2 linked regions of the Macaca fascicularis genome follow. The protein of the gene in region 1 binds, or shares a complex with, the protein of each later gene. Links are inferred from orthologs where the notes say so. Each region holds a gene or a part of one and is shown on either strand. Other genes may lie near its edges.

Region 1 (7,707 bases):
ATCACAGTGAGTCACACCCCTGTGGGTCCCTCACTAACGAATAAGTTGCCCAAAGATACTGAGTGCCATTTGCACGATGCTTGTCTTGACGGCTAAGCAGACATTTAGGAAGCGGGGGGTTCCCGGGGTCTGCGTTTCTGCCTCTCATGTGCTGTTTGGTGGCCCCGGGTGCCTTGGTGCTGTGAAGGTTTGCAGACAGCCTGTGTGGGCCTAGTGGTGACTGTGAGCAGGGCAGAGATCTCACCATCCCTTAAGAACTCCAGGGCCCCAGCCCACCTCCCCAGGCCCCTGAGACCGCCTGGCTCTGGGGCCCACACTCCTCTCTGTGTGTTCAGGGTTTGCTCCCTCAAGATGGGAAAGATTGGTTTATAAGGAGAGTCTGTATTTGTTTCAAAGTCACAACCAAACTTGGCCCCACCCGCTGACCCTGACCCTGCCCTTCTTCTGATCCTGGCCGTCCCTGCCTCCAACCTGCCTAGAAGGCCCCGCCCCGGGCACTGCCCCTCCCTCCCCATTACCAGTGTGTGCCCCGTGGGGACAGCCCCGTGGTACTGAGCTTGGATGCAGACGTAGCCGTCTGAGAAGGTGCAGGGCAGGAACCAGGGGGGCCGCAGGTCGGCAGGCACCACGTTCAGCACCAGCGTGGCGGTGGCCGTGTGGCTGGGCTCCACATTCTCCTCCGGAGTGTCCTGCAACAGCCAGATCAGGCCTGGGAGCAGCTGGGGCCAGGGGGACCTCAAGCATGTGGGACTCAGGGCTGGGGTGAGCCGCTCACCCGCACCAGCAGCCGGAAGGCCATGTTGGGCCGCTCGTAGAAGTCCAGGGGCCGGTCCAGCCTCAGGGCGGGATAGTTTACACCCACCAGGGAGAAGTAGTCACTGGCACCCTGGGGAGGATCAGGGAGGACACAGCCTAAGAGCCTGGGAGGGCGAGGGCGGCTGCGGGTGTCAGTGGCGAGGGGCTCACGCTGGGGCAGGGCAGGCGGCACTGACTGCGGTCGCTTCCTGGAGGGTGTAGAACAGAAGGTCATCCTTGTCTTTGTCCTTGGCCTGCAGTTCTGTCTCAGGGATGACGGTGGAGTTTACTTTAGTGTCCTAGGGAGGGAGAGGGGCTTGGTCTGGCCACACTCTTGGCCCCTGTGGACCCCCGCTGTGGTTGAGCCCCCGGCCACCACTCGCCCCTTGCCCTCACCCTGGGCTCCCGCACCCCCTGCCCAGCCCTGGCAGCTTCGCTGGCCTCACCTCTTCCACCCTTATCTCCTTGGTTGTAAAGGGGAATTCGGGGGCGTTGTCATTGACGTCCAGCACTGACACGAACACCCTCAGCTGGGTCACCTGCAGGATGTGGCCGTCAGCCTCTCCCACAGCCGCTCCCCATCATGAGTGAGGTGTACCCCTCGACGCTATCCTTCCCCATCGTGAGTGAGGTGCACCCCTCGACAGCTATCCGTCCACTCGCTCAGTGGTGTTGGGGGGCTGCAGGGGGGCTGCACAGCTCTAGGTGCTGGGATGCAGAGATCACAAGAGACAAATCTCTGCCCGGTGGTGCCTGTCCTGGCAGGACTTACAACAACAGACAAAAAGGACTTTATAAAGCCAGGAGGTGGCAGGTGCGCCACAGAAAAATAATGCAGGTACTTGGGGATGCAACCAGCAGAATCTCAAGCGAGGAAAGACAATCCAGTTCTTTTCTTTGTTTTCTTTTTGGATACAGAGTCTCATTCTGTCACCCAGGCTGGAGTGCAGTGGCGTGATCTTGGCTCACTGCAACATCTGCCTCCCAGGTTTAAGCGGTTCTCCTGCCTCTGCCTCTCGAGTAGCTGGGATTACAGGCGCCGCCATCACACCCGGGTAATTTTTTATTTTTAGAAGAGACGGGGTCTCTCCATGTTGGTCAAGCTGGTCTCAAACTCCCGACCTCAGGTGATGTGCCTGCCTCGGCCTCCCAAAGTGCTGGGATTACAGGTGTGAGCCACCGTGCCCAGCCGACAACCCAGTTTCTTCACAAATAAATCTCCAAGAGAAAAGATGGGAGAAGGAAACGTGAAGATGAACAGAAACTCAGGAGAATTATCAGCTAGGTACATAACGTGGACCCTGATTCAAACAAACAATTGTTAAAAAAAACCCTTCAGAGACCATGGGGAATGCGGCATCCTGAACATTCGAGGTAGAAAGTGACCACTTTTCCCAGGTGTGACGACATTGTGGTTATGTTTTAAAAAGAAGAGTCCTTGCAGGCGTGGTGGTTCACGCCTGGAATCCCAGCACTTTGGGAGGCCGAGGCGGGCAGATCACCTGAGGTCAAGAGTTCGAGACCAATGTGGCCAACATGGTGAAACCCCGTCTCTACTAAAAATACAAAAATTAGCTGGGTGTGGTGGCAGGCGTCTGTAATCCCAGCACTTTGGGAGGCCGAGGTGGGTAGAGGCCAAGGCAGGAGAATCGTTTGAACCTGGGAGGCAGAGGTTGTAGTGAGCGGAAATCGTGCCACTGCATTCCAGCCCGGGCGACAGAGGGTGACTCCATCTAAAAAAAAAAAAAAGGCCGGGCGCGGTGGCTCAAGCCTGTAATCCCAGCACTTTGGGAGGCCGAGTCGGGCGGATCACGAGGTCAGGAGATTGAGACCATCCTGGCGAACACAGTGAAACCCCGTCTCTACTAAAAAATACAAAAAACTAGCCGGGCGAGGTGGCGGGCGCCTGTAGTCCCAGCTACTCGGGAGGCTGAGGCAGGAGAATGGCATAAACCCGGGAGGCGGAGCTTGCAGTGAGCTGAGATCCGGCCACTGCACTCCAGCCCGGGCGACAGAGCGAGACTCCGTCTCAAAAAAAAAAAAAAAGAAGGATCCCGGCCAGGCACAGTGACTCATGCCTGAAATCCCAGCACTTTGGGAGGCTGGGGCGGGCGGATCACCAGGTCAGGAGTTTGAGATCAGCCTGACCAACATGGTGAAATCCTGTCTCTACCAAAAATACAAAAATTAGCCAAGCGTGGTGGTGGGCGCCTGTAATCCCAGCTACGCGGGAGGCTGAGGCAGGAGAATCACTTGAACCCGGGAGGCGGAGGTTGCAGTGAGCCGAGATCTCGCCATTGCACTCCAACCTAGGTAACAGAGCGAGACTCTGTCGCAAAAAAAAGAAGCATCCCTCTCTTTCAGAGACACATGCCAAGATATATGTGGGTGATGTGCTGTGGTGTGCGGTGGGCACAGAGCCCTCTGTCTGCTGGTAGGTGTGTGGGGGGGGCGGGGGCCTGTGCTGGCCTCAGGATTCTGCAATTTTCCTTAATAAAGCTGAAAAAAATGCCGCTGGTCAAGAAGTAGGATGTCGGGGGAGCGGGGCTGGGATGCAACTATTCCCTAATAGGGCGGTTGGGATTTCTCTGAAGACTGCAGACCTGAGCAGGTGGGGGAGGAGCGTGCCTGCGGGAGCTCTGAGGCTGCAGCAGAGCCTCCGCACAGTACATCTGGGTTTGACTCTCAGTGAGAAAGGAGCTGTGGAGGGCTGGGGTGGACTGGGCAGCCTTGGTTTACAGCGTCCACAGAGGCTGTTCCGCCACATGGAGTGGACTGGGACTGGCAAGGGGCAACAGGGAAGCCAGCGGGCCGGCTGAAAGTTTCCCAAAATGAGTGCTGGTGTCCCGGCCCTGGTGGGACTGGAGGTGGGCAGACGATGGATTTCTGGGTCGAGCTGGGGCAGAGCCAAGTGATTTACCAATGGGGAGCTTAGCGGGGGACGTGGGGAGGGAGGGCGAGTGGAAACCAAAGTGGTTCCAGTGGCTGGCAGGATAAAGGTGCCTCCCTTGTGGGGGCAGTGGTGGTTGAGGGAGTGGGTGGGAGTCTTGGGCACACTGGGTGGGGGTATCTGCTGGACAAGGGATCAGTGACGGGGACGCCACAGTTCAGGGCAGAGTCTGGACTGGAGGAAATGTGAGCATCACTCTCGGAGGGATGGCATGTGAAACCACACCCTAGGTGAGGTCATCAGAGACTGGCCCTGGACCGGCAGGGCAGAGCCCAGCTGAGGTGGCCTGGTGGGCGGGGAGAGTGGGGCAGGGACTCACCAGTGTGCCTGCGCTCTGACACAGCAGCTGAGCCTCAAGTAGTGAGTTCTCCTGTGGAGGCAGACGGGTCTGCAGTCACTGTCCCGCCCCACAGGTGGTGAGACTGAGGCCAAGGGGGCAGGCGCTGGCCCAGGGTCCCCATCATCAGTGGTCAGTGCTGAGGGTGTGGGCCCAGCCTCCTGGGGCAGGCACCACCAAGCATGGGTGTTAGTGGATGCCTGCAGGCATAGAACTCCTGGGCCCCCCGGGGAAGGTGTGGCCTGAGGATCCAGGCACCCTTCTCCCGGGAGCCCCCACTCCCCACCCACCTCCCGCCCACACCTCGTAATCAGGAGACACGTTGAGAAACAGCTGGTTTCCCTGGATCCGAAATGCGAAGGGGGTGGACAAGGGTCCGAGGGTCACCTCCTGGCCCTCTGGGACATGGATGTCCACCAGCGGCTCGGTGACATTGGTGTTCTCCTCGACTTCAAAGAAGGACTTGTTCACAGAGCAGTCTGTAAGGTTGCAGAGGAGGGGTCAGCGCCTCCCAGCCCCTGGCTCCCCCTGCCCTGTGCCCCCACCTACCTACCCCTGCCCGCACGTACACTGGACCTGGGCCACGGCCCCCGGGGATCGGCCAAGCAGCCCCGTGAGCAGCAGGGGAGGCCACAGCAGGGCCCAAGACCCCATCTTGGCGGCTGTCACCTGGCGGGAGGGTCCGAGTGGGTTTGGCGTCCAGGACTGGCGCAGTTCCTACCTCAGCGACCTTCGCCCCAGCCAGACGCCGCCCACTTTATGATCCTTTACAACCGGCCTCTGCCAAGGGGGCTCCCGCTGGCCGGCGGGTCCGGCCCACTGCCAGAAGGGGGGCAGTCATTTGGCCCAAGTTAGACTGAGTACAGGGATTAACCAGGGGGCTCAGGCCACAGGCACTGAGGCACAGGGCAGAAAGGACTAGAGAATGGCTCACGGGCGCCATGGGGCTGGGGCAGGGCAGGGGCAGAGCTAGGGTGTTGGAGAGAAGCCGTTGGTGTTGGGGTGTCTGAAACCTGCCTCCCTAGCCCAGGCTGCCCTTGCTTGGCTCCTCCCCTAAGCTCTACCTCAGGCAAAATTCCTAAGGCCAACCCTTGAGGCTCAGAACCTGGGTGTTCGCCCGGGAGTACCTCCCTGCCTGCCTGATGGCAGGTTCTGAAGGAGGAGACTCTCCTCACTGTGTCCTAGGGACACCCCTGCCTGCCTGCCCCAGAGACAAGCCAGCTTCTCAGGGTGGGGCTGGACAGGGCCTTAGTGACCAAGGCTAAGGCGGGGCTGTGGGGGGCAGCTGGGAGCTCCTGGGGAGCCCTGGTGCCCAACAGAGGGGGTGAGGTGAGTCTTGACACTTGCCCTGCTCTTTTCATTGGCCCCCGCAAGCCCCCAGCTCTAGGGAGAGGCCACTGGCTGGGGTCAGGGCGAGGAAGGGGCTGTCGTGAGGCGGGGAGTGGAGTCATTCCTCTCCAGGCCTGTGCACCGAAGCTTCTGGCCTCTCGTGGCTGGGGCTGGGCTCAGTGTCCCAACCCTGCACTGTACCCTCATGGTCGCCTGCAAGCCCTGCACGCTCCATACGCCACAGGCTCTGAGGGGTCAAGCCACTGGTCTGAGGCCACACAAGACAGAGGGTCCGGAGTCCTCATGCCAGAGTGGACTCCTGGCACCCCAGGTGACACCTCTGCCCTCCCCTCTTCCTGCCCGCCTGAGCCTCCCTGGCCCCTCCACACCCTCCCCACTGCCCCTTCCGGAAACACTGACCACACGCCACCCCCCACCCCCCTGCAGGAGCTGAGAGTCTGTCCGGGCTCCCCCTGAGCCCTTGACTGTTTCCTAATGAAGACAAGGGGGGGGCGGGGCCCTGCGGTGCTTAGTCGATGTACAGGAGGCGGCACTGATGCCAGAGATAAGGATGAGGGGCCCGCTGTGGCCGCCAGGTGTAAAGGGCAGCTGGGTGTGGTCACAGTCCCGGCTGGGTGGATGGGGCCCCCTTCCATCTGACAGCCCTGCTACACAGGGGTTGCCTCGATTACACCAAGTGGACACAACCAACTCCCAGTGTCTGGATCTGATTCTCCTTTATTGGTGCCGAGTTCCACCCCTCCCCCTCTCCCCCCAGCCTGCCCACCACCCCAAATGCAGCTCCGCTCGTAGGCTGGGCAGGTGGTGAGGGGGTTCCTTCCTCATCTCGGTCGCAGGGTTCCTTCTGCAGCAGCACCGGCAGGTTCTGAAACCATAACCCCAGGCCTGGGCCCGGGGGGCAGCCAGGGAGACCAGGCCCCGCCCAGGGGTATCCTGCAGAGACAGCACGTGCGGGGTTGGGGGCTGGGGCTGGGGCTGGAGACCCCGGCCCCGCCGCTGGAATTGGGCCTCCGGTGGCCACCAGCGCTGACCCAGGGAGGCCACGGACAGAAGGAAGGGTCTGGGGTGGGGTCTGGGGTGGGGTCTGCGGTGGGGCGGGCGCTCACCAGGCCTGCAGGGTGGGCGTGTCGGACCCGGACGGGCAGAGCAGACCCGCGCTGAGCCTGGACCAGGCCGTGCTGTTCTCTGCGTCCTGCTCGCTGTCCCCCGCCCCAAAACAGAGTTAGTCCTGGAGGTGGGGGGTCGCGCGTTGCTGCCAGGGCACCACGGCAAGACCCCCGCCCCACCCGGCCTCACCTGCGCTTCCCCACCAGGCCCTGCAGCAGCCGCTGGAGCCGCGCGCCCTCCCGCAGGCGGCTGAGCTCGCTGGTGAACGTCCCGTCCGAGTGTCGCCGGGCCCTGGGGGCGGGCGGGGGTCGGGGTCAGGGCCGCGCGGGGGGCGGGTGCGGCCGGGGGCGGACGGGCCTGGCGGGCGGCTCACCTGGGGGGCGCGGGGCGCGCGGCGGAGCCCCCGAGGAGCAGCAGCAGCAGCAGGAGGGGCCGGGGGGCCATGGCGGGGTCGGGCGCGGGAGCTGAGCGCTGCGGCCACGGCCAGAGCCCCGCGAGGCCCCTTTATGGCGGCGCCCGGAAGGGGGACGGCCCGGCCGCGCCCAGCGATCCCGGGAAGGTCAGGGCCGCCCCCCCAGCTGTCGCCCCGGCCCGGCCTCCCGCCCCCTCCGCCGCGCTGGCGCCCCTCGGCCGGCTGGGGGAGGGGGACGTCCAGGCCTGGGGGGCGAAGGGGACCCGGGCCGGGACCCGCAGAGGGAACCGCACCGCGAAGCCTCGGAGCCTGCGGGGCGCGGGGACGGAGGGGCCGTGGGACTTGGGGGAGGATTTGGGGGGACTGGGGGACCCCGGGAAAGGGGCGGCGGCAGGAGCTCCGGAGGCCCCTGGAGCACCCGGCTGGGGCGAGTTCGTCGGGAAGGCCTGAGCGGCGTGACTTTGTTGTGGGGGCCGGTGTTGCCATTTTATCCGCTTTGAAGTGCAGGGTTCAGGATCATTGGGTTCGCTGACATTTCCGTGCATCCGTCCCCACCATCCGTTCTCAGACTCTCCCATCCTCCCAAAATCCGTTCTCAGGCTCTCTCGTCCTCCCAAAATCCCTTCTCAGACGCTCTTGTCCTCCCAAAATCCGTTCTCAGACTCCCCATTCTCCCAAAATCCGTTCTCAGACTCTCCCATCCTCCCAAAATCATTCTCAGACTCCCCATCCTCCCAAAATCCGTTCTCAGACTCC
Region 2 (7,997 bases), on another chromosome or scaffold:
CCTCATGAATGGGGTCAGGCACCCTTATAAAAGGGCTTGACACAGGGAATTTGCCTCTTTTTTTGCCCCTTCCTTCCCTTCCTCCATGTGAGGACACAGCCAGAGGGTGCGACAACAAGGTACCATCTTGGAAGTGTAGACAGGGCTCTCACCAGGCACCAGTCCTCCTGGTGCTTTGATCTTGGATGTCCCTGCTGCCAGAATGGTAAGAAATAAATTTCTGGTTTTTATAAATTTCCTAATCTAAGGTATTTTGTTATAGCAGTACAAATGGACAAACACAAATGCAAATTGATTCAGAAATTTCACTTTGGAGAATTTATTCTCAAGAAAATATGGCCGGGCCTGGTAGCTGACGCCTGTAATCCCAGCACTTTGGGAGGCCGAGGCAGGCAGATCACCTGAGGTCAGGAGTTCAAGACTAGCCTGGCCAACATGGTGAAACCCTGTCCCTACTAAAAATACAAAATTAGCTGGGCGTGGTGGTGCATGCCTGTAGTCCCAGCTACTTGGGAGGCTGAGGCAGGAAAATTGCTCGAACCCGAGAGGTGGAGGTTGCAATGAGCCAGGATCATGCTACTGCACTCCAGCCTTAGCGACAGAGAGACTCCATCTCAAAAAAAAAGAAAAAAAAAAACAAAAAACAAAAAAACACACAAAAAAGACAATGTCAGCAAAGATTTATGTACAAGGATAGTCATCACAGCACTTTTCAAACTAGGGAAAACAAACTGTGTGTCCAGGAGAGGGGTTGGCTAAGAAATGTATTTGCTGATTAGAGTCCTACAAAGTCCCTGAAATTTATAGAAGAATATTAAAATGTATTTATACACACTATATTATATATAGAGAGAACTATATACATCTTAGTAGCATGGCATTATAGGACATTTTGTCTTCATGTTTTGTGTGCATATGTAAGGTTTAATTTTCTGGGTTCAGCTCATGTTACTTTTGTAATTAAAGACTAGCAGAACCAAGCTGAGTGCTGTGGTTCACATCTGTAATCTCAACACTTTGGGAGGCTGAGGCAGGAGGATTATTTGAGCTCAGGAGTTCGAGACCACCCTGGGCAACAAAGCAAGACCCTGTCTCTATTAAAAATAAAAAATAAATAAAGACCAGCAGAACAGTTATTGTAAGAGAATATTTCAAGCTTTCACAGGTGAGAGAGAGAGAATACCTAAGCATTACTATTCAAAATGGTCCTCAAATGGAACAAGAGCTCTCTCCTGACTGAGAAGAACCCCACACCCTCTTCTAGGAGGACAAACTCAGTGGCTGACACAGTTTGGATCTGTGAGATTTCATGGGGAACAAATCTCAAATCAAACTGTAATCCACAATGTTGGAGGTAGGGACTGGTGGGAGGCGACTGGATCATGAATGGTTTAGCACCATCCCCCTTAGTACTGTCCTCATGATAGTGAGTTCTCATTAGATCTGGTTTCTAGGACCTCTCCCCTTGCTCTCTTGCTCTTGCTTCTGCCATGTGAGATGTCTTTTCCTTCTGCCATGATTGGAAGCTTCCTGAAGGCTCCCCAAAAGCAGAAGCTCCTATGCTTCCTGTGCAGCCCGCAGAACTATGAGCCGGTGAAACCTCTTTTCTTTATAAATTACGCAGGCCCAGGCATTTCCTTATAGCAATGCAAGAATAGGCTAACACATTGATTTTAAAGTAACTGACATCTTGCAGTTTGTGGAAGGAGGTAGCCTTTCTGTAGATGGAGAAAGCTGGGGAACCCTAGGCTGCATAGAAGAGATGAGATGACTGGAGAAGGCTGGCTGATGGGGATCGATGTGTCTGAGAAAAGAAAGTTTTAATCAGACAAGAGAGATGGGGAAGATCTGCTTCACTCACTTCCTCATTCAATCTTCAACTCGAGAACTCTCCCAATCCTGGGTTCTTCTGACTCTTCCTAAATGTTCCCTACTTTAATAAAGGGTGTCAACATCCAAAACCTGGGACCTTAACCCTCCTTTTTCTTTATCTGCCCACGTCCAGTCAATCATTATTGATTCTACATCCAAACTGCCACTCAAATCCAACTATATCTTCCCATTCCCAATGTCACTACCCTAGTCCAACTCATCTCAACCATTAAAACATCCCCAAACATTCTCTCCGACTGTTATCCATCTACCTCAGTGAGTTTTGTAAACATAAATCTACTCTGGAAGCTTCCCTGCATAAACCTAAGACATGGCTTCCTGGGCCCTTAGGATAAAGTCCTTACCAGAGTTGACAAGGCTGTTTGTGATCTGGTCTTATCTCTCACACTTGCCCTGACCCCACTCCTACTCGAGCCATGTCCAGCCATACTCAGCTTCTCTAGTTCTCAGGACACAGTTTTCCATCTTAGGGAAAACACTCTTTCACCTGGCCAACTTGTTCTCATTTTCCTAATCCCAGCTTAAATGCTTTCCCCTTAGGGAAGCCTTCCCTCACCCCTGAGATTGAGGTAAATGCCTGTTTAGTACCCTCTGTTTCCTCTTTTGTAACAAATATCATAGATGAACCAAGCACAGTGGCTCACATCTATAATCCCAGCACTTTGGGAGCCCGAGGCTGTCAGATCACTTGAGCTCATAAGTTGAAGACCATCCTGCGCAACATGGCAAAACCCCATCACTACAAAAAATACAAAAATTGCAGGGCATGGTGGCGCACACCTCTAGTCCCAGCTACTTGGGAGGCTCAGGTGGGAGGATCACTTAAGCCTGGGGCTCAAGGCTGCAGTCAGCTATGATCTCGACACTGTACTCCAGCCTGGGTGACAGAGTGAGACCCTGTCTCAAAGCAAACACACGCACGCGCACACACACACACACACACACACACACACACACACATCATAGATGCCTTGTCTTCCTCTCTCAAATCTGATCACTACGACAGGGATTGTGGCCGTCTTGTTGATCACAGTGTGCCCAGTGGCTAGCAAAATATCTCTTAAGAGATAAGTAGCTGGCACATAACAGATACTGAATAAATGGGTATATTGAATTGGATTCACCTGGCTCCTTTATTTACCTTGCCCTTTTCTCTTTCTTTACCCTCTTGCATTATGGTTGCCAACACAACCTAGCCCTCTGATAACAGGCAGAACAAGCAGAGGAGTTGGCTGACTCCTCCATTAAAATCTGGGCAAAGAGATGGTGTGTGTGTGTGTGTGTGTGTGTGTGTGTGTGTGTGTCTATCCACTAGCCAAACAAGTGATAGAGCTAAGACAGGCTAAAGATTCCTTGTAGAGCCAGCAACTCCACTCAAAAGAGCAAGACCCTGTGTCAAAAATAAAAAATAAAAAAAATCATGAGCTTGCACTGGGATTGAAAGTTAATAAAAGACTGTGGGATTTTGATGGCATAGATAAAAAAACAAACAAACAAACAAACAAAAAACTAAAAACTCATTTGTTCCAACCAAGGTTGACAACTTAAAACCAAGTAAAATAATGGCCTCTTTTAAAAGAGAAAACTGTTTAAATTTCATGAAAAGCATTTTTAAAGGCATAGAATTAAAATATCTTCCCTCTTCCCCATGCAGATAATGCCTTAGAGTTCAGAGTCTCTCCTCTGATTGGGGCTAAGGGATGAGCCACTCCCATATTGCCAGACCTCAGTGAGAAAAGAGAGCATCTCTAGGCATAGTTTTCTCTCTTTCTCTAAAAATCCAATCATTTAGACAATCTAGAAAGAGGATAAAGTATTTGTATTGACATCCCTGACTCTTGCTGCTATCTGCAAAAACCTACTGTGAACACTGTTTCCAACGGAAACCATCGGGTTGAACTTACCCTCTACTGCAGATTATCTCTAGGGCTTCCAGGTTCCCATGGTAGGCTGCCAAGAGAGTGGGAGTCATGCCATCTTCATCTGAAAGATTTAGATCTCGCTTGGTAGCCTCTTTTAGAAGTTCCAGGTAACTATCACTAGCAGCTTGGTGGTAACGAGTAGACATTTTTCCTGCTCACCGGAACTTGGCCAGATGTCTCTCCAGGCAGAGAAGGGTGTTGGCGGAGCAACCTTCCTATAGAGCTGGTTAATTAGTGACAAGGAAGAGTGTCACCAGGGGCAAAGCTCATTCCAACTGCTTCCTTCCGTGGAAGGCAACAAGGTTCAAGCCACTGAACTTGGACCTTTTCTCTCTGAAATAGACATGACGTTGACTATTGAAGACTGCTGTATTCATCTTGAGTGTTTTGAGGCACATTTAATTTTTCTATGCCCATTAGTTTCTTGAGTTAATATTGGCCATCTAGGCACAGGATGTAAGAAATTATTTCTTAAAAAAATGCAGAGCTAGTGTAGTTCACTAGCTGTTTTTTCCAAAAAGAACAGCTTTATTGAGGTATAACACCATTAAATTTACCCATTTTATGTATACAATTCAATGATTTTAGAACATTTATAAAGTTGCATGCCCATTATCATAATCCCGTTTCCATCAGCCCTTAAAGATCCCTCGTGCCATGTGCTGTCAATCCCATTTCCACTCCCAATCCCAGGAAACCACCAGTCTTCTTTCTGTCTCTATAGATTTGTTTTCTATGGGCATTTCAGATAAATGGAATCCTACAATACATAGTCTTTAGCGTATAGCTTGTTTCAATTCACAACTTTTTTGAGGTTTGTCATGTATAGCGTGTAACAGTAGTGTCTTTCTTCCTTTTCACTCCTGAATAATATTCCACTGTACTAACATACCAAATGTTCTTCATCCATTCAATGTTTCATGAATATGATGAATATTTGAGTTGTTTCCATTTTTTAGTAATGATGAATAATGCTGCTATGAACACTGACATACAAGTCTCTGTGTGGACACATATTTTCATGTGTCTTGCGTATACATCTAGGAGCAAAATTGCTGGGTTGCATGGCAATTTACATTTAAATTTCAGAAGTTGCCAGACTGTTTTCCAAAGTTGCTGTACTACTTCACATTTCCACCAATAACATATGAGGGTTTCAATTTCTCTACATCCTTACCAGCCTTATTATTGCCTATCTTTTTGTTTATGGCCATCCTAGTGGATGTGAAATGGTCTTATTATGGCTTTAATTTTAAATTCCCTAATGACTAAGATATTGAGCATCTTTTCATGTGCCTATTAGCCATTCTTACATCTTCTATTCAAATCTTTTGCCCAATTTTTAATTGGGTTGTCTTATTAATAAATTATAAGAATTATTTACATACTCTGGATACAAGTCCTAGATCAGATATATTTGGAACAGAATGAAAATGAAAATTCCATATATCAAGATTTATAGGATGCAGTTAAAGAAAAGCTTAGGGCAAAATTTGTAGTTTTTTATGCATATATGAGAAAGAAAAAAGATCTCAAATCAATAACTTAAACTTATTATCAATAACTCAAGGGAAGGAGAAAAAGTATAGAAAAATGACTATAAGGAGTACAGTATAAGACCAAAAACATTTCCAGATCTATCTGCAATAAAAACAAAAGAAAATGGACTAAATTTATAGTGTGGAAGACTCAGCCATGTCTTGTTTATAATAGACACATCTAAAATATAAAATTGCAGAAAGATTGAAAGCAAAAGATGGAAAAGTTATAGCAAGCAAATACTAACAAAACATTTGTGTACCCATACAGATGGTCTGCAACTTATGAGAGTTTGACCTAGTTTTTCAACTTCATGATGGTGCAAAAATGACAGGAATTTAGTATGCTTCTCAGCTCACAACTGAGTTATTATATCAACTTATGGTGGTTTTGCATTGTAAGTTGAAGATCACCTGTACTGGTAGCAAGGAAAAATACAGCTTAAGCCAAAAGATGTACTAGGCATAAAGAGAGAGAATACATGATAATGAAAGGAACAACTAATCAAGAAACCATGATCGTTTTAAACTTGTATAAATTGAATAACATAGCTGCACAAAAGGGAAAGCAAAAATTAAACAGAAAAAAAACAAAACCACAATCATAAGGGAAGATTTCAGACATCATCATCATGTTCTATATCAGACTAAAAATTGGTATAGCTATAAAATATTTTGGCTGGGCCCGGTGGCTCACGCCTGTAATCCCAGCACTTTGGGAGGCCGAGGGGGTGCGGATCACGAGGTCAAGAGATCGAGACCATCCTGGCCAACATGGTGAAACCCCGTTTCTACTAAAAATACAAAAATTAGCTGGACGTGGTGGCACATGCCTGTAGTCCCAGCTACTCGGGAGGCTGAGGCAGGAGAATCGCTTGAACCCGGGAGGTGGAAGTTGCAGTGAACCAAGAGAGCACTACTGCACTCCAGCCTGGTGACAGAGTGAGACTCCATCTCAAAAAAAAAAAAAAGATTTGAACACAATTAACAAGCTTGATCTAATAGTCACATGAAGAAGGGACACCATGCCCAATAGTAAATGCAAGTTTTTTCTAAGCACACATAGAATATTTATAAAACCTGACCACTGAATAGAAGCAGTGCAGTTCTCAACAAATAACAAATAACAGGGTTCATGCAAACCATGTTCTCTGAAGACACTGCAACTAAATTAGAAACCACCATCCTTACATAACTCATCAGCTATGCATATGTTCTTCTGTGGTGTATTTTTTACATTGTTTTCATCAAATACATATAATTTTACGTTACGTCTTTTCCACTCTTTAATCCATCATAAATGTATTCCCATACTGTTGCACAATCTTTAATATATTTGGATAATTGTCCACTAAATTGATGTGAGACATATCTATTTTTGAAGCCTGTAACTGTGTATTCATCTTATCTCTTTTTGTCTAAGTTTTTATTCCAAGATAAATTATTTACTCACTCAGAAAAAGTACCAAGCTTTCATCTGCAATTTCTTCACAATAATAATGAGCGCCAAGGGTCCCTGTTTGTTCCTTTTCCTGGCTTCTAGGTGAACAGCAGTAGAAGCAGCCTGGAGGGCAGAATTATTTAGCTTTTATTAAACATTGTTTTTAGCCCAGGGAAAGTGACATATCCAAACATGATTGTGAAAACTTTGAGAAAATGGTAAGGTTGTTCCTCAACTTTTATATGAGCCACTTTAATTTAGATACAACTGCATTAATTAATGCATTTTGCCATTTAAAATAGGTCAGGCGTGGTGGCTCACACCTGTAATCCCAGCACTTTGGGAGGCCAAGGTGGGTGGATCACTTGAGGTCAGGAGTTCAAGACCCACTTGGCCAACATGGCAAAACCCCATCTCTACTAAAATACAAAAATTATCTGGGCATGGTGGTGTACACCTGTAAGCCCAGCTACTCATGAGGCTGAGGCAGGAGAATCGATTGAACCTGGGAGGCTGAGGGTGCAGTGAACTGAGAACATACCACTGCACTCCAGCCTGGGTGACAGTAAAGACTGTCTCAAAAAAATAAAAAATAAAAAAATATATATAACCTGATAGAGAACTTCTCAAAGATGTATTATTTGTAGTAGAATCCTAAGACTCCATCCAAAGGGTCTGCTCTCAGAAGAAGATGAGGAGGAAGAGGAAGAGAAGAATGGTGGCCTGTAGGATGGTCATAAACAAAATGAGGATGAGGATTGTCAAAGTCAAAATAAAAATCTAGAGCTGAATCTCTAAATTTAATGTTTTATTTGGAAAAAGACTTGCAATTTGGGATATATACATAGACCAGGTGGTCTTCAGTATGTCTGAAGAAGAGAAGTTTAGAGGTTTTATTAAAGAGAGAAATGTTACACATTGCCCTTCAAGAAAGTTCATTGGCACTAGTGAGGGTTTGGAGAGCTGGCAAGCTCTGATTAGTGGGCAAAATTCGTCTTCGAGTTGCAGCAAGTTATCTCAGCAGCTGTAAATAAAACTGCTCCCGGGTTACAGCAGGCAGTCCCAGCAGTCAGTTTTGCAGAGAATTACATTCTTGGAGCAAACTTTTTTTGTTGTTGTTGTTGTACTCAGAGTGCTGCCACCTGGCTTCTCAACCCTGATTTACTTGGGTATGACGAGAATGATGCAATTTGCGTGATTGAC

What was found. The genes of interacting proteins can lie anywhere in the genome.
Region 2: CDHR5 (region 1) and ANKS4B share a complex: the UniProt entries of both Homo sapiens proteins name them as parts of the IMAC/intermicrovillar adhesion complex. The link is inferred for Macaca fascicularis from reciprocal best matches to the Homo sapiens genes CDHR5 and ANKS4B.

The regions. Positions count from the first base shown.
Region 1 is NC_088388.1:522,945-530,651, forward strand, and holds the start of CDHR5 (cadherin-related family member 5), read right to left. Parts: upstream 4,777-7,707; 5' UTR 4,737-4,776; coding exon 4,652-4,736; intron 4,562-4,651; coding exon 4,386-4,561; intron 4,116-4,385; coding exon 4,065-4,115; intron 1,335-4,064; coding exon 1,242-1,334; intron 1,095-1,241; coding exon 993-1,094; intron 887-992; coding exon 776-886; intron 690-775; coding exon 519-689; intron 1-518. Other genes in the region: SCT (secretin), read right to left, coding at 6,254-6,365, 6,539-6,631, 6,729-6,830, 6,913-6,983. UniProt on the Homo sapiens protein: Intermicrovillar adhesion molecule that forms, via its extracellular domain, calcium-dependent heterophilic complexes with CDHR2 on adjacent microvilli. Thereby, controls the packing of microvilli at the apical membrane of epithelial cells.
Region 2 is NC_088394.1:20,666,471-20,674,467, reverse strand, and holds the start of ANKS4B (ankyrin repeat and SAM domain-containing protein 4B), read right to left. Parts: upstream 3,999-7,997; 5' UTR 3,962-3,998; coding exon 3,798-3,961; intron 1-3,797. UniProt on the Homo sapiens protein: As part of the intermicrovillar adhesion complex/IMAC plays a role in epithelial brush border differentiation, controlling microvilli organization and length. Plays a role in assembly of the complex.